Linked DNA regions of Canis lupus familiaris. The protein of the gene in region 1 binds, or shares a complex with, the protein of each later gene. Links are inferred from orthologs where the notes say so. Each region holds a gene or a part of one and is shown on either strand. Other genes may lie near its edges.

What was found.
Region 2: the proteins of WDPCP (region 1) and INTU are in contact, whole or in part, in a cryo-EM structure (PDB 7Q3E), measured with the Mus musculus proteins. The link is inferred for Canis lupus familiaris from reciprocal best matches to the Homo sapiens genes WDPCP and INTU. Residues at the interface, in NP_663400.2 of Mus musculus: Phe3, Cys4, Leu5, Ile24, Leu51, Ser54, Arg55, Asp56, Lys93, Leu385, Ala386, Glu387, Asp388, Tyr389, Ile427, Lys446, Leu447, Gly448, Ile449, Leu450, Thr451, Arg452, Gly453, Leu455, Leu462, Gln463, Ile465, His466, Tyr467, Gln487; in NP_780724.3 of Mus musculus: Val481, Gln484, Val488, Asp491, Ser495, Asp496, Glu498, Ala499, Ala500, Asp501, Ser506, Glu507, Asp508, Arg513, Arg514, Thr517, Ser532, His533, Leu534, Pro535, His574, Tyr593, Glu610, Gly613, Cys614, Ala615, Ser616, Lys617, Ser653, Pro654.

What each region holds. Positions count from the first base shown.
Region 1 is NC_049231.1:64,519,370-64,529,203, reverse strand, and holds the start of WDPCP (WD repeat-containing and planar cell polarity effector protein fritz homolog), read left to right. Parts: upstream 1-3,971; 5' UTR 3,972-4,051; coding exon 4,052-4,108; intron 4,109-9,834. UniProt on the Homo sapiens protein: Probable effector of the planar cell polarity signaling pathway which regulates the septin cytoskeleton in both ciliogenesis and collective cell movements.
Region 2 is NC_049240.1:14,063,136-14,072,243, forward strand, and holds part of INTU (protein inturned), read right to left. Parts: intron 6,019-9,108; coding exon 5,483-6,018; intron 1-5,482. UniProt on the Homo sapiens protein: Plays a key role in ciliogenesis and embryonic development.

The DNA.
Region 1 (9,834 bases):
TTGAGTTAAACTTTTGAATGCAGATCATGTTCTTTGAAATTTAAGCCTTACTTGACCTTTGTGAAAATTTTTAAAATTCTCGTTTCTTTGAACATAGCATATAGTGATTGCAGATTTATCATACTCAGATTTTGCCATTGGGGGACATACCTTCTTATTTAGCAGAGATAAGACATTCATTCATTTGACAACAAATATTTATAAAACATCTACCATGTTCTATAAGAGTAATTAAATTACCTATCAGGGCACAAGTCAATTTCAGTCTTGTGGGGGACACAGACAAGTAAATAGGTAAATCTAAGTATGTAAATTGATGAGTACTGTGAGTGAGGAATATACAGGGTACTCTGAAAGTACCTGTAGTGGAATTAGGTTTGGCCATCTAACCAAATCTTAGTGGAGTCTGGTATTGGGGAAAGCTTCCTGGAGAAAGTTTTGGCTAACCTGAGGCATAACATGTATAAGGGTTAGCCTGAGGTGAAGTGTTAAAAGGGAAAAAGATGTGGGGGTAGCTAAGTGTATTTCACATAAAGTATGTACAAAGGAAAGAGGAGCTAGAGAATGTGGCATGTCTCATGGGACTCTAGAACTTCAGTGTTCAGAGATGAAGCCAGAGGTGTGAGCAAGGACTATTTCATGCATGGTCTTAGGTATTATTGGAATTTCATCCTTAGTGCGATGGAAAGTCATTAAGGCTTTTCAGAGAAATGACATGATTCTTGTTGCTGTTTGGAAGGGTTTTGCTGACAGAAGGAAGAGTGGGTTGGGAGAAGTTAGATTAGAGACAAGGATATAAAGTGTAAGGACATTCTGGGTAATTGGTTGAGATGTGTTTGAGCCATAAACTATTTTGGTAGCAGTAGAGATGAAAAGAACTAGATGAATTTATGAAATTTTAACTAGTAACAGCAACAGAGTTGGTAATTGATAAGATGTGGGGTATGTGGAAGAAATAAATAGTAGTAAAGGTAACACTCAAGTTTCTAACTTAAGTAACTAGGTGGATAGTGCTTCCATTTAATGTGATTGGGATCATGGAAGGATTCAGAAAAGGAAGAATATGGATTCAGTTTTATAATGGTGAACCTCAAGTTAATGTGGAAGATGGGTAATAGGAGGTGGATATATAAACAAGCTGCTCAGGAGAGAAATGAGGGCTGGTGACTAAAAGTCATCAGCATGTAGGTAGTATTTGGAATAGATGAGGAGTTTTGCAGGGAGGGTATAAAGAGATCTCGGAGGACTCTTGAGTAGGATCCTGAGGAATCCAATATTTAAGAGATGGACAGAGGAAGAACCAGTGAAAAATACTGAGAAGCAGCAATTGGAGAGAGGTAGGTTGAAAATGGGGAGAGTGCTGGGTCACTGAAACCAATGGATGAAAGTGATTAAAAAGGTTATCAGGCAGTGAGAGTAGAAATATAATGGTAGAAAATGCACCCTATATGGGAAATTCAGATGAAGTGCTGTGTGATTTCAGATGAAGGAAAGACTCTCTGGCTAGGGAACAGGAATGCTTCATGGAAGAGGTTGCACCTGAAAAGCACATTTAAAGAAACTCCTGAATGGCAGGGAATATATTCCAGGTAAAGCGGCAACATAGTAACAGGTAGGAGAGTATGAGGCTTTAGAAGTAACAAGTCGTATGTTATTTAGCTACAGTTCTAGGGTTGGTGTTAGAGGTAGTACTAGAAAGGTAATGGGGAAATGAATATGAAGGCCATGATTGACATGCTGAAAGCTCTATGCTCTTGGCAATAGGAAGCCATAGGAGGATTTTAATGAAATCAGAATGATTTCATTCCTTTTAAGACTGTAGCATACTTCATTGTATAGATATATCACATTTTGTTTATCCATTCATCAACAGTATATTCTTTAGGGATACATATATAGGTAGTGATATATTTTGGGTAAAGGAAAGTAACCCAAAATTCAGGGTGCAGGTCACGTCTGGAGGAGAGAATGGGAGGGATGTGACTTGGGGAGGGGGTGCGAGTGTTTTACGGTACTGGTAGTGTTCTGTTTCTTTTCTATTCTTTTTTTTTTTTTTTTTTCATGAGAGACAGAGAGAGAGAGGCAGAGACACAGGCAGAGGGAGAAGCAGACTCCATGCAGGGATCTCGATGTGGGACTCGATCCCGAGTCTCCAGGATCACGCCCTGGGCTGAAGGCGGCGCTAAACTGCTGAGCCACCTGGGCTGCCCTAGTGTTCTGTTTCTTAAACTGAATGGCGAGTAAAGGATATTCATTTTATTCGTTAAATAGCTTATATGTTTTATACTTTAGTATGTATATTTCACAATTAAAAAAAATTAAAGTGATCATGGCAGTACTGTAATTTTCAGTGTCTTGTAAATAGAATGATATAAGATTCGTTATCTGATAAGATTAATCTATCAGTAGGTTAGGTTGGGGCAAAAAGAGGTTCTTTGGAGAGATTACTGAAATAGTCCAGAAAAGGAGTACAGGGCCAGAACCAAATCAAACTGTAGCACTGGAGAAGATTAATATAAATCAGGAAATTAATATAAATCAGGCAAAGAAATCAAGAGTATTTGTGAACTGGTGGGACAGGGTGGAGTGGAGGTTGTTCATTTTCAGTGTGCTTTCTTTCCTTTTTCTCACAGTGACTTTATTATCTAAAGTCACTTGTATTGAGCCTCCCCCTATTCCCTTGGTCTTACTCAACAGAAGACCTCTCTTCATTCTTCATTAGGAAAAAAAATAAGTTATCAAGCTTTACACTATTAAGTAAAAGTGTTTTACTTTTTTGGTCCCTACCTCACATAAAAGAAGCATGAAGAGTCTGAGATTTTACCTTACTTGCAGTCTACTAAGTTAGCCAGTTTCATGGAAGCTGGTAGAAAACATGAAATTCCTGGGTCAGAGTGAAGGTTAGTTTTTATTCATAGCAATAGAGTGAAGTATTAGCATTTTTTTTCTAATCCCCAGTTTCTTTAGTGTGACATAAAGAGTGCCAGATGATACCTGTACGTGCAGTGGGTTGTATTACAGAAGAGCTTAGGGAACCTAAACTTTTTGTAATGGGAAGTAAGCATGCCTGCCCTTTGCTCCATAAGAAACATTACCTCTATTTTCCAGGGCTATTTGTTATCCTTGAAGAGATCGTCTAGAACAAAGGGCCCTCAGTACCTCTTTTGCAGAAACCTGAGAGATTTATGGACAATTGTCTCCCAACACCTCAGAACATCTTAATATTTATCCTTCTTTCATTTCTATCAATCTCAGAAATATATCATTTCTTTTCATAGCTAACACTTCAACTTTGATTTTTATCCTCTTCTCTCTTGACTTCTGAGGTCTTATATCATGGCTATGTCTTCTCAGATCTTTATCAAATATTTATTGAATATTATGATACAGTGTGAGATGTTACAAAGCAGCTTTATGTAGCACTTACGTTAGTTAAGGTACTCAGATAAGTAAAAGAAATATTGAAGATTATCTTAGAATAGGATAAACTCGGTAAAGTTAAAATAAAAAAGAATGACGTGGAAGAAACTGGGATTGGTCCTATTTTACATAGTGATCATTGCAGAGACTTTTAGGAAGAAGTGACCTATGCACAGAGATCTGAATTATGAGAATCAGATTTCCACATAAAAGAAGAGCACAAAAACTCATAGGAATAAGATTGATATTTTTTGAAAAACAAAAAGAAAGCCCATGTTTCTGGATGGTAGTGAGCTAAGGAGGACAGTGGTAAATGATGAACTTAGATAGGTCCAGATTACTAGATTCAGATGACAAGACATTTGAATTTTATTTGGTCTATAACCTTTGTTAGTCCACTATATCTTTCTTTTAAATTATAGATATTTTATGGGCCTTTTCCTGTTCTAAATAACTTTTTGAAGAGATGCCATTACTTCCCATTCTTTTCCAAATTCTATAGAACCAAAGAATTAAAAGATAAATTCTCAACACTGTTGGAAGACGAAATGGTGCCATCAGGTATTGTGAGGAATTGACAGCCTGAAGGCTGGAAAATGACAGCCCAGAATGGCACAGAGAACAACTGTGCATGAAAGGAAAGCCTCAAAACTTTCAAGTTCTTGGTAATGGGGGTAATCATTTCAAGGTATGTGCCTTAAATAGGAAGACAGTATTTCTCCTTGCCCAGTTCTTTCTCCTCAAATCATTCACAACACATGCATTCTCTATTCTTTCCTCTCTCCCTTTCTCTCTCTGACACACGCACACAAACCCCCCCCCACACACACACATACATACACACACATGCACATACTAAGGATAGCATTTGTCTATTTCTGAAATTCAAAACCATTTGTAAGGTAAACTACCTACCTGAGGAAGGCTTCCACTGTGGCTGTAGGGACATGAGAAAAGAGTAGAACGTGAAGTAACTTGGGAGGACTTATCTATGTTACAGAAGCGTACAGGAGGAAAAATGAAAGACAGTCCTGCCCAGGGGGAAATATGTTAGAGTACTCACAATCAGAGTAAAACTGTTTTCCTCTGTTTTTGTCACTTGGAGCCTTCTCAGCTTACCCACACATCTTAATGTGGCTCTGGCCACTTAATATACCAGCAGTCAGCCTTCCTGTATAGGAAAGAGACTGAATGGGGGAAATATCTGTATGGCTATAGAGAAAACCTGGGCCAGCTGTGTGTATACTCATCAACTTAGATTTTTGTTCATAAATATGAATGGACAGCCAAGGATCATCATCAGACACTTAAGAAAACCAATGCAGGAAAAGAAGAGCGAAGATGAACAAACCACTGATTTGGATGAAACATTTAATTCAAAGAACAGAAGAACATACAAAATATATTCTAACCAATAATTTTTGAGAGATTCCAGAAGATAATGGAACAATTCAAAAGAAGCAATGAGCAAATGATCTTTGAAATTAAACATATGATTTAAGGTTTAAAAAAATACAGGGAAGGCCCCTGGGTGGCTCGCTTAATTAAGGGTCTGCTTTCAGCTCAGATCATGGTCCCAGGGTTCTAGGATTGAGCCCTGCATTGGTCTCCCTGCTTATTGAGGAGACTGCTTCTGCTTGTGCTCTCTCTGGCTCATGCTCTGTCTCTCTTAAATAAATAAAATCTTCAAAAAGACGAATAATAAATAAAATAGAGGTATTTGGTTCAGTTAGTAGAGCATGCAACTCTTGATCTCAGGGTTGTGAGTTTAAGCCCTACATTGGGTGTGGAGCCTACTTAAAATTTAAAAAAATCTATTTTAATATTAATATGTTATAATAAAATATAAAATTAAATTAAAAATAATTTAAAAATTATATATCATTGACTTTTGAACAGTGTGAGGACTAGGCATGCCGACCTCCTGCACAGTTGAAAATCTTTTTTTTTTAAAGATTTATTTATTTATTTATTCATGATAGAGAGAGAGAGAGAGAGGCAGAGACACAGGAGGAGGGAGAAGCAGGCTCCATGCTGGGAGCCCGACGTGGGACTCTATCCCGGGACTCCAGGATCGTGCCCTAGGCCAAAGGCAGGCGCTAAACTGCTGAGCCACCCAGGGATCCCACAGTTGAAAATCTGAGTATAACTTTTGACTCTCCTTGAAACTTAATTACTAATAGCCTGTTGTTGACTGGAAACCTTACTGATAACACACACTGTTGATTAACACATATTTTATATGCTATGTATATTACATGTATGTATATGTTCTTACAGTAAAGTAAGCTAGAGAGAAAATATATTAAAATTGTAAGGAAGAGAAAATATATTCACAGTACTGTACTGTGTTTATTGAAAAGTCTGGTATACGTGGACCTGAGTAGTTCAAACCTGTGTTGTTCAAGAGTATGTCTTCTCTATATTAGAAGAGCAAAACAATGTAATAGATCTAACTACAGACTGAAATAGTAATCTGGAAGATAAAATCAAAGAAATATTAGAGTTAAAAGACAAAATGTGGGAGAGAAGCTAAGCCATGGAAGGTCAATCCAGACAATGCATTGTAACTAGAAATTGAGAAATAAAGGTTGTCCCCCCGCCCCCCATATGTAGCCATGTGGCCTTAGGGGACTGTTGGTATTTATGATTGCGATGGGCCTCTGGACCTTGTTTCAACCAGACTCTCTATTTTTACAAGTTTTATATGTTAGAGTTAGTGTAGTATTTTATTGAAGGAAAAAGTGGTCTACCAGGAAAAAAATGTCTGAAAATTAGTGACATATGGGATAAAGCTCAGATTTGCTGTGTTTTATTCAAAGGTCTTCACAGTTTTACCACAACTTGTCTTTCTAGGGGGAGTGAAAGAAGATTACATAGAAAGGATAGGGGCCAACTCACATAGGGGTATGTAAGGCAATATAAAGACTTTAAGACCTATGGAATGAGAAGTTTTTGAAGAGATTCAGACAAATAAAATAGTCTAATTTTTGTATATTTAAAAAATTTAAATTAGCTATTATATACTATGCATTATATATTAAAATTCTGAAAGTATTTTATATTTCTATGGGAAATGGATTATGGCTCAAAAGTTGAAATGCGGGGCCAGTCAGAGGCATTAAATGCTCCAGGCAAGATAAACTGGTGTTCTAAACTGAAGAGGTAATAATTGGGATACAAAGAAGATTTATATATTCTAAAATATATTAGGATATGTTTTAGAAGAAGGTGAGCCAAGGGGCAGCCTGGGTGGCACAGTCCATTAAGCCTCTGATTCTTGGTTTTGGCTCAGGTCATGATCTTGAATCATGAGCTTGAGCACCGGGTCAGTCTCTGTGCTCGGCACAGAGTCTGCTTGAGAGTGTCTCTCTCCCTCTTCTCTTACACCTCCTGTTTGTGTTCTCTCTCTCTCTCTCTCAAATAAATAATAAAATAAAAATTAAAAAAAAAAAAAAAGCTGAGCCAAGAAGGGAAAAGTTAACATGAAGGTGGTGAATGATAGTAAGAGAGATTTGAAAGAGTGGGGGGTTTTTTTTCCTTTCTCCTCTCTTCCTTTCTCCCTCCTCTGTCACCTTTTCCCCCAGCCTCTCCCTACCTTTTAGTAAAACAGAGAATATTTCTTTTGTAGTCATAATGTACTCCATTTTGTTGGGAAAGGAAAGGAGTTGGTGGTAAGACTGGAAAGGTTGCCCACATTCAAAATGAATTGCTTATATATTTAATAAAAGGATAATCAGAACTTTAAAAAAATAAACATTTGTTATCCTCATAGTTTATCTGTATCAGATATTTAACAATGGCTTAGATAGGCAGTTCTGGCTCAGGATCTCTCAAGAGAGTGCAGTGATCTGATGGCTGGGCTGGAGCTGGTGGATCTAAGTCCCGGGAGGCATATGGTTAGCAAGGGGGTACTGGTTGTTGCCAGGGGGCCAGCTCTCCCTCCCCAAAGTGTTCTTCTTCATGGGCTGTTTGAATATCTTCACGGCATGGTTCTGGCTGTGCCCTCTCCCCCTGGCCTCGGGGTGACAGGCAGCTGCAGAGGAAGGTTCTGAGCCTCATGGGCAGCTGTGGCACCTGGAACATGGGGCAGAGCACTCAGAACTTTTTAAAAAATGATTTTAAATACCCTACAATGAAAGAAGCATGTACTGACAAAAATGATGGACTTGGGGATTAAAGAAATTTGGAAAATAGGAAAATACTACCTCATATGGTTGTTCTTAAGGTCTAACTAAGAAAATGCATATAAAACACCATACAGTAGACACTCTGGCTGAAAAGAAAACTTCTTTCTTCTTGATCAAACATAAGATAAGTTACTTTAAAACCTTAGAGATGTTTCAAACTTGTTGAAGTTTAAAAACAATACAATTTCTAAGGGAAAATTATACATATTTCCTTATTAGCATAATCACTGATTTACATGTAGGAGGTTAACAGTGCAAATTTAGTTTTCAGGAATTGACCATTGCTTTATAAGAGTATTAAACCTTTTATTGGGGCAGCCCTTGGTGGTGCAGCAGTTTAGCGCTGCCTGCAGCCCGGGGTGTGATCCTGGAGGCCCAGGATCAAGTCCCACATCGGGCTCCCTGCATGAAGCCTGCTTCTGTCTCTGCCTCTCTCTCTCTATCTCTCTCTCTTTGTGTCTGTCATGAATAAATAAGTAAAACTCATTTAAAAATTTAAAAAAATAAACCTTTTATTGAATATCTTTAATTTAAAATGTTTTTTGAGTACGCCACATATTGAATAATTTGTAACAAAGTCATGCCATAAAACTGATGTTTGAAATAACTCATATAAGTGTACATTGGAATATTTATGGAAGGGGATGCATAGTTAAACCAGTGTTCATGCCAAATCCACCATGCACTCATATGTATTGAGCTATACTGTTAAAAAATATTTTGTAATTAAAATATGTATACCACCAAATTTTCTTTGTTAGAAAATAACTGACATATAATATTTACTAACTACTGAGAAAATAGCAAACTCTGCTTTGAATACCTAGACACCTTCTCATTGGCTGGCACCATCTGTGACAAATTCTGAACTGTACTGTTTACAGACACACAGCTGCAGTCTGAGTTGGCACCAAAACCAAGTATTGACGCTGTGCTCTTTGCAGCCCTAGCCCTGTCTAATTCCTCTGGAAGGGAGGAGATGGGAGAAGAGGTTGCAAATGCAGGAGTGGTGAGAGTAATTGATAGTTTATGTCTCTTCTCTCTTAAGAAATAAACCCTCCCCTTGTCTCGAAACTCCTTTAGCTACCACTCTTTTTCACCATCCACATTTATGGCTTCAACTACATAATTGGCTCCTAATATTTTTATTTTTATTCTAGAACTCATTCCTGAGCTCCATTGCTAGAGTTGGGTGTTTAATGTCTACCTAATGCTTTAAGTTAGCTTAACAGTCTACAGAATATTCATCTTCTAATAATAAATGCTAACTGTGGGCAGCTCGGCAGTTTTGCACCTATTTTTAAATGCCAGATGACATCATGGAATGTTGCAAAGTCAAAGTGGTGAATTATCCCCAAAAATCCTAGTTGTATTTCTAATAGAAAATATTCTTTCATGGAGAGTGCCTGTTGAAGTAGTGTGATTAGCTGCTATTACAGTGGTTAAACAGACCAATTGAATCAGAATAAAGGATGCCTACCAAGACACTAAAGGCAGGAGTGAGTGAAGCACCAGAGATGAAGCATTTATTCAGTGTTCATTGTTTTTTCCATCTGCCTGTGTGTTCTGAATAAACTTAGGAAGAGGTGGGAAACTTTTTAAGTCAAAATGGCACGCATACATAGTATAGAAGGTCAGAGTTCCATAAGGTTCATCACTAACAATGCATTTGCAATGCCATTTGCATTTCTCAGCACTCTCCTTGGCAACTACTTCCAATTTTTTAGGTATTTTTTCCGATGTTACCTGAATGTTTGTAAGCAACATGCATACTTATTCCTTCATTTTGAAAATGTTAGTTTTGAACATACTAACTTCTTACTTTGGGAGAGAACATAACCTCCACCTTAGCACTTATCCCCTCCCATACATACTTCTCCCCATTCTAGCACAGATATAATGTAGTGTTTGGTTAATCCAAATTATGTGTCTACAGTATTCTAAGCATATATAATCAAGATTTAGCAATGTGACATACTAAGTTTATATTTTTCTTGTATAATTTTTTGGATTTTTTCTGCAGTTAATAATTGCCTTACTTTTCAGATTTGCTTGTTTTTTATAGACCTATTATTTCCTCATCCCCAACTTCCCCAGTTAGAAGTGCAAATCTTTTAGTAAATCTGTATGCATCAGGTAATCTCATACTTTTATCTTTTCTTAGCAATATTCTTCTTGGAGTTTGCTATCTTCCTTTGGTCTGCCTGAGATACAGTTATCCTTG
Region 2 (9,108 bases), on another chromosome or scaffold:
ACTAACATTTGAATTTCATATAATTTTCATATGTAATAAAGTATTCTTCTTTTGATTTTTTTTATTTTAATCACTGAAAAGGTAAAAACCATTCTCAGTTTGCAGACTACAAAGATGAGTGCTTGGCCTGATCTGACATACAGGGCATGGTTCAGAGATCTGTTTTAGATTATTTCTTTTGGATAAGTGTATCAAATGGATTAAATGGGTTAAGTGGTACATTGTTATAGCTTAATCCTTATTTCCAATTACATTTTGAAAGGATTAAATAATTTCTTTTCTTTTTGGCTTCAAAGAGAAATCCTTTGGCACTTTCCCCACTCATTCAAGTGAGCACCACAGCAAGTGAAAGAGTTTCTGAAAATGGAAATCAGAACTTGTAGGTCCCAGCTTTATCAACTGATTGACCTCTGTTCTTGGATAAATCATATAATCCCTCTGGTACTCATCTGTAAAAGGAAGTGACTGCACCAGATGCTCTCTAGGAAGGCCTAAAAACTCTAATTCTACCTTTCCAATTAAGTCACTGCTTGTTTCATTCCTTTTCTACTGGGTCAAGTACCACAGGCAAAATGTGGGAAAGAAATGATATGAAGGAGAAGAGACAAATACGGCAGAGATACTTTAAAAAAACTGAAACACTGGGGTGGCTCAGGTGGCTCTGTCGGTTAAGCGCGCAATTCTTGGTTTTGGCTCAGTTATGATCTCGGAGTTGTAAGATCGAGTCCCAAGCTGAGCTCCATGCTCAGCTCAGAGTCTGCTTGAGACTGTGTCCATTTTTGTCAGCCCCTCTCTTATCTTGCTCTCACTCTCTAAAATAGATAAATAAATAAATCTTTTTTTTTAAAGGGGGAAAAAGAAAATTGAAATGTTTCAAGTTTTACAGAAGGTGAAAATGAAAATATGTATCAAATAACAACATGTAAAATATTAGAGAATAAAAACCATTCATTAGATGCTCACAAAAAACCGAACCTATCTTTTTAAAAAAGCACTGCAAATGTTTAACTGGAAACAAGCGGAATGTCCATCAACAGTGAAATGTAAAAATGAATATACAATGGAATATCACATATCAAAAGCCTGGATATTTCCCAAGATTATAAAATAAAGAAAATAAACACAAGAGAATATACCCTATATTTTTCTATTAAATGAAGTTTAAGAAGAGGTAAAATTAAAAAAAGAAGAAGAGGAGGAGGAAAAACCAACTCTGTTGATAGAAAACTTGACTTTCAGAAGGAAGGAGGTATTAACTGGGAGGAGGCACTATGGAACCTTCTGGGTACTGGAAATGTTCTTTGGGTGGTAGTTACACAGGCATATACATATGTCAAAATTCATTCAATGTATACTTAAGATTTGTCCATGTTATGAATGTTATACCTCAAAAAGATTTCTAAAAAGTAAAAAAACTTCAAAAAATTTAAAAGAGAAATAGCACAAGTGTGTCATACAAAACAAAGTTATTCAGTGATCACAGGTGAGAACCTTAGAAGTTACACAAAAAGCACTTAAAATAAAACTTTTACTGTTAATGTGTTTAGAACATTAATGTGTGATTTCTTTAACCCTATCCTTTCCAATCCTTAAAAAACACCTACTTAAACTAGCAAAACTGGGTCATCTTGATGAAAAAAAAATCACCAAGGTGATACATAATTTCTAGGATGCAGGTAAAAAGAGGATTTGCTTTGGTTTAGGGATACAGACTGGCTACTCGTAGTCAAGGAGCAATTAGCTGTCAAACTTTTTTTTTTTTTTAAGATTTATTTATTTGAAAGAGAGAGAGCACCTGCATTCACGTGCATGGGGGTGGGAAGGAGCAGGGAGGGGCAGAGGGAGAAAGAGAATCTCAAGCAGGCTCCACACCCAGCATGGAGCCCAACACGGGGCTTGAACTCACAACCCTGAGATCATGACCTGAGCCAAAATCAAAAGTCAGATATTTAACTGACTGAGCCACCCTAGTGCCCCTCAGCGGTCAAACTTTAAGAAAAACTCAGAAATAAAAAATAAGGAGTTAAGTCAGCAGAAAGAACTGCAAAAATGGCACCAGAAAATGCAGCAAACCCCCCAGAATCCCAGTAAAAGAAGAATCAGAATAGAACATGAGTTCTACTGTCATGAAAGGGAAAGAATGAAAACAGTCACCAGTCTCACTGTGTTGGCCAACACACTTTAGTCAAAGGAGGGTCATTCTCCAGCTAAGACAATGGCAGAAGTCACCCCAGCATACTGCATTACCAGGACAAAGTTTTCAAGATCCTCCTGCATATGGGGTTACCTCACAGTTCAACCACAGAATTCAGTGTGAAATGAAACAATGAAAGAAACAAATGAGAGAATTCCATCCTGTGGGATTATCAAAGTCACCATGACATTTTAATTGTCCATTATTTATTCCCAAAGTATGTGACTTTAAAAATATACAACATAACCATAAAATTAAACATCTGAAAAAAGAAAAAAACATTTATAATGTCTCCACACAAACCCAACTCTACTAGCATTTTGCTGCATTTATATTTACTTCTAATCATTTTCCCCTATTTTTCTACATAGTATGTACATTTATTCAATAACTGTTTTTGAGGGCTTATTTATCAACCAAACCTTTTGCTATGCATCAAGGATGAAATAATCATTTTATTCTGACAATTTTTTTTACATATTGGTAAATCATAAACTCTTCCATTATGAAACTGAAATGATGAACTTCATTTTTTTTGCCTTTTTATTGCTACTCAATACACATGCAGAAAAGTGCACAAACTGTAGTAGTACAACAGTAAATTATCAAAAAATGCACATATTTATGTAACTACATTCAGGCCAAGAAGTATACTCTGAGCATCATGTGTATCTTTAAATTATTTTAAATATAATCAACAGGACTATATAGTAGTCTCTCCCTCTCTATAGTTCATTCTCTTTCCTCCCACACAGATGGTATGAGAAGACAAAAGCGTCATTCCTAGAGGATTCAGCAGACTGGAGTGAGGATCAGGGGAAAGTAAACATGGAATAGGACGTTCACTGATCATAACCACCTCTCCACTAGGGTTCAAGAGAAATGGGCAAAAAGAATTTTAGAGATTTGTCTACAAATCAGTCCAATTAGGTCCTGAACAGAGGCCCCAGATAAATATAGGCGTTTCCCATCTTGTGGTATCCTAAAATTATGGTGGTTGGCAACAACCAGGCAAGATTTCATAAGCATGAATTCTGGCATCCTCTGAAAGAACAAAGAATAAACCTTAGAGACATTTTACAAAAGAGGAAGTTGAGCACCTGAGAGAACGTAAGCATGCATTAGCTATCTGTTACTGCATAACAAATGACCACAAAACTTAGGTATTTATTAATTAATTAATTAATTAATTAATTTATTTATTTTTAAGATTTATTTATTTATGATAGACATAGAGAGAGAGTGAGGCAGAGACACAGGCGGAGGGGAGGGAGAAGCAGGCTCCATGCCGGAAGCCCGACGTGGGATTCGATCCCGGGACTCCAGGATTGTGCCCTGGGCCAAAGTCAGGCACCAAACCGCTGAGCCACCCAGGGATCCCCCAAAACTTAGGCATTTAAAACAACCACCACCACCTATTATCCTTCTTGGTTCTGGGGCTGACTGGGCTTAGCGGAGGTTCTCACTCAGGGTTCCTCATGTAGTTGCAGTCAGATGGTGGTTGGGGTTGGAATTATCTGGAAGCCTTCTTCACTCATGTGTGGTAACTAATTGATGCTGCAGGGCGGCTGAGACCTCTGTTGGGGTGATTAGCTGGAATACTACTCGTGGCCTCTTCATGTGGACCACCCTTGCTCACACAATGAAAACTGGACTCCAAGAATACTAAGCAGAAGCTGCATCACCTCTTATGATTCCACCCCTGAGATCACATAGTACTAGTTAAGCTGTAGTCCAGGCCCACAGGGGTAGGGAGGGGAGGACCCAAAAACTTAACTCTTCATGGAAGGAGTATCAACATGACGTTGTAAGAAAGGAATAGGGAGATCTTGTTGCAACCATCTGGAACACCCACTGCATAGATGTCCTTCCTATGTGATTTCGCCCTTGTAAACCCCTATCACTGCACTTATCATACTATGTGAAACTGTCTACCTACTTCTTTTTTTTTTTTAAAGATTTTATTTATTTGACAGAGAAAGAGAGAGCAAGCACCTGCAGGGGGAGAAGCAGAGGAAGGGGAAAAAGCAGGCTCCCCACAGAGCAGAGAGCCCCACGTGGAGCTCTATCCCAGGACTCTGAGATCATGACCTGAGCCGAAGGCAGATGCTTAACTGACTGAGCCATCCAGGCCCCAGTCTGCCTCTTTCTGACCCATCTCTTCCATCACAGTCTGAGCTTCTTAAGAAGTGTAAGTGGATCCTTAGAGTAATCTTTGTATTCCTGACACTTAGCAAATGTTCAAAAGTTTCATTGAATCAATGAACAAATGCAATTTAGACTAAGAAATATTTTTAAATGTTTCTAAAGTAGCTATAAAAGTTTATCTAATTTTTTTTAAGATTTTTAAAAATTTATTCATGAGAGACACAGAGAGAGAGAGAGAGGCAGAGATACAGGCAGAGAGAGAAGCAGGCTTCCCGCAGGGAGCCCAATGTGGGACTCGATCCCGGGACCCCAGGATCACACCCTGGGCCCAAGGCAGACACTCAACCGCTGAGCCACCCAGGTGTCCCAGTTTATCTAAATCTTATAGGCTGAGTCAACTTAAAAGACCATGAGTTTTTAAATCTGTTAATAACTTAAGTTTCATTAACAATATATTTTCACATTTGACTAATACAGCTTTATCTAAGTAATAAAGTTGCTATGACTCAAGCATTATATCCAACGCTAAAAATGTATTAGCAATACAAAATGCTCACCTTAATATATATTCAGAATGACTTTTGGATTTTTTTCCCCTTAAAATTGATGAAATGTTTTATGACAAGCACCCTTAAAAGGAAATTTATGTATAACATCACTGTTGCTAAATATGCCAAATGAAACAGCTTAAAACCACTCCAAGAATTTAGTGTACTCAAGTGCAAACATACAATTTAAAAGTATTTTTATTCATAAATTACATATTTTTATATCATGCTGTTGGATATAGGTCATTCAAATCTAAATCATCATTGTAAAATTAGCTTATTTTCTTTCTCTTGTCAGCAAATATAACCAAGATGAAATATAATTATATAATTCAAAACTCAAAAATTAGTTAAGCTATTCCTTGGCTTAAACGAGGCACACGCCTCAACTTACCAAAAACCTTATTTAAGAACAGCATGGCCTTCCTTGAAGTACACCATGCTTAACAATTTCACTATTATCCCAAATATCACCAAGCAGTCCTTAATCTGTTGAGACTTTGGATAGAATTCTGTTTTGATCATGTCTCACAAAACATCATTAATCATGAATCTCTGCACACAAGAACTGATATTTACCAGCAACACTTACCAATTAATATCTGACCACTCTTCATAGCAGATCCTCCTGGTAGCAGGCCATGGACCACAAGTCTCTCTCCAATGCCCTGTTTCCCACTTTTTTTCCAGCTCCACTTAGTCTGATGAATAATCCCAACCAGTACTTCCAGAAGCTTGAGCTGCTCTTTGGCTTTGGTTACAGTTAACTTTTTGGGGTTTACATAAATATTCACATCTTTATACCGCTGTTGGACAACAACTCCTGTTTTTGGGTTGGACTGATGCTTTAGAATGGACACTGGCTCATTGTCATTGCTATTTTTTTTATTGTAGCGCTTGGGTAAAAGACTTTTACTTTTTAAAATTTTGGTAAACCGCTTCAGCTTAGGTTCATACTTTTTTCCTTCTTTGTAATCTTCTTCAATTATAATTTCATTTTCACTGAACCGGACATGGTTCACAGTAGGAGTCTCAGGAAGGAGGCTTTCTTCTTCATCTTCACTCAATTCCAAATAAAATAATTCTCCATTTTTCTGCACATTGTCCAGCCATTCGGGTTCAACATCACTATAAAAAAGAGAAAAGATATTCTGAATAGCAGCCAAACATAAGAAAAATAGTTATGTTTTTTGGGCATGGGCACGCAGGGAGGTGGGAGGAGGTGAAAATTCTTTGATTCTTTCAAAGTCTCACTATTTCTGATTTATTGTAAGCATCAACATTATTTCCTAGGACACTTTTTAAGAGTCTTGAAGAACTGGGGTTGGAGGAGAGGGAATCAAAAAAGCATAGTGAGGGCAGCCCAGGTGGCTTAGCGGTTTAGTGCCGCCTTCAGCCCAGGGTGTGATCCTGGAGACCCGGGATTGAGTCCCACGTCAGGCTCCCTGCATGGAGCTTGCTTCTCCCTCTGCCTGTGTCTCTGCCTCTCTCTCTCTCTCTCTCTGTGTCTGTCATGAATAAATAAATAAAATCTTAAAAAAAAAAAAAAGCATAGTGATAGAAAAGAAAAAAGAAAAGGAGATGGCCTCCTTCTAGAACCTAAGATTTTTTTTCATTTTAATTCAGCCCTTGTTCACTTTACACCATTTCACTGGACAATAATTTACATTAATAGTTGATTGTTCAATTATATCCAGATATAAGCCATTTGGAAATTGGACATAAAAACATCCTGTTTGCATAGAAATTATTTAGTATGTTTATGTTAAAATGAAAACTAAAGCCTATTGTTTTTAATAAATTTGTTTATACGATAAATTTTCAAAACATTCACCTCACCATAAACTAAAATCTTTGCTAAAAACTAGTTTATAATCACAGTTGATAAAGATCGCTTCTACAGCCTAAAATTTCCATTAAACTTGTTTTTTTATAAACAATTGTAAGAAAAGTAAACCGCATATTACATAATTTGTCATGTGATTGTTAAAAAAAACTTTTAACTGAAATAGGCCATTGATAAAAACAAAAGTACTTCTATTAAAATGGCTGAAACAGGGATCCCTGGGTGGCGCAGCAGTTTGGCGCCTGCCTTTGGCCCAGGGCGCGATCCCGGAGATCCGGGATCGAATCCCACATCAGGCTCCCGGTGCATGGAGCCTGCTTCTCCCTCTGCCTGTGTCTGCCTCTCTCTCTCTCACTGTGTGCCTATCATGAATAAATAAAAAAAATAAAATAAATAAATAAATAAATAAAAATAAAATGGCTGAAACAACATTACAAAACAAAATGCTTATCTTAAGGTATCAATCCTAAATACAAACTCAACCCTGCCTGTTCAATGTAATGAACACTACCTTTCAAACTGCTATTTTTAAAATAAAACTGGTTACAGTGGAAAATAAAGTATGTAAAGAGAATATTTCAGAAACACCAGCTGTAATATTCTGATGTAAAAGGGTATAATTTGTGTTCTAATCATTCCATCAAATAGAAAGACATTTCTGTTTTCTGCACTATTTATTAGCAACTCTTATTCTTTTAACTTAAAAGTCAACTATTTCTCTAGGAGCACCTGGGTGACTCAGTTGCTTAAGCGTCCACCACTTGAATTTGGCTCAGGTCATGATCTCAGGGTTGTGAGATCCAACCCCGTGTTGGACTCTGTCCAGTTGTGGGGCTTTTTGCATTGGGATGGAGCCTCCTTAAGATTCTCTCTCTCTCCCTCTCCTGTGCTCCTCCCCTCTACCACCCAAACCTGTGCACACTCTATTACTCTCTAAAAAAAAGTCAACTTCGCTCTAAAAGTTGTGAAAATTACTTTTAAAAAATGTATTACTCTATTACTCAACTCTGAAACTAACTACTGATCTCATCTGTGGTTGGGAATTTTTAACTATATATTAATGGTTTAAAAAAAGGCATATCCAGGGCAGCCCCGGTGGTGCAGCGGTTTGGCGCCGCCTGCAGCCCGGGGTTTGATCCAGGGGACCCTGGATCGAGTCCCGCATCGGGCTCCCTGCGTGGAGCCTGCTTCTCACTCTGCCTGTGCCCCTGCCTCTCTCTCTCTCTGTGTCTCTATGAATGGATAAATAAAATATTAAAAAAAAAAAAAGGAATATCCAGCCCCATATATAAAACTAACATTTCTTTGGCACTTATTGGTTCCTAATTGTGGCATTATTTTAGCACCATTTAGCATCAGGTTTTAACCATTTATCAGATGTTTCAACCATATCTATCTGTACCCACAGAAATTAGTATTTACTCTGAAGAATCTAAATATTTCCAATCTAGATAACTATGTACCATGATTTAAAATGGTACAATGTACATATCATGATTACACATAATTACATATGAAGATATATATCAGTTTAAACACTGAATGAAATTATTTGCTTTATAATCTCACTCTTTTAATCTTTAAAATTTGAATGGGAAACCATTTTTTGACTTAAAGATATTTTCAGCTTGCAGGGAGCAGGCACAGGGCATTCAATCATGGAGCAAATGAACAGTGCAGGGCACTTGGAAAGTACTAGAATTGTAATGATTAAAAAACATCAGTTCCTTCCCCTGTCTAGTGGAGAAGAGAAAGTGAGAAAGAATTCACAACAATACATATGGTAAATGAAAGACAGAGGTCATCTAGTTTATCCTGGGATTGAGGATCAGGGCAGGGAGAATTTCTGGCAGAGGAGACACAGAAGTTTGTTTTGTTTTGTTTTGTTTTGTTTTTTTCAGAAGTAAGTTTTAAAAGAGTAGGTGGTTGGTGATGGGGATATAGGGAGCTGAAAGAGAAAAGACAACTCCAAGCAGAAGGAACAGCATAAGCAGAGGCCTTGAAGGACTGTCTCCATGCCCATGTGGACAACTAAAGCTAGTCTGGAACATACCTCAACATCATAAAAGCCACATATAAAAAACCCACAACTACTGTCATCCTCAAAGGGGAAAAACTGAGAGCTTTCCTCTATAATCAGGAACAAGACAGGGATGTCCACTCTCACCACTGTTACTTAACATAGTACAGGAAGTCCAAGCCTCAGCAATCAGACAACAAAAAGAAATAAAAATCAACATCCAAATCCACAAGGAAGAAGTAAAACCTTTAATATTTGCAGATGACATCATACTCTGTAGAGAAAATCCAAAAAACTCAACCAAAAAACTGCTACAACTGATACACCAATTCAATAAAGTTGCAGAATACAA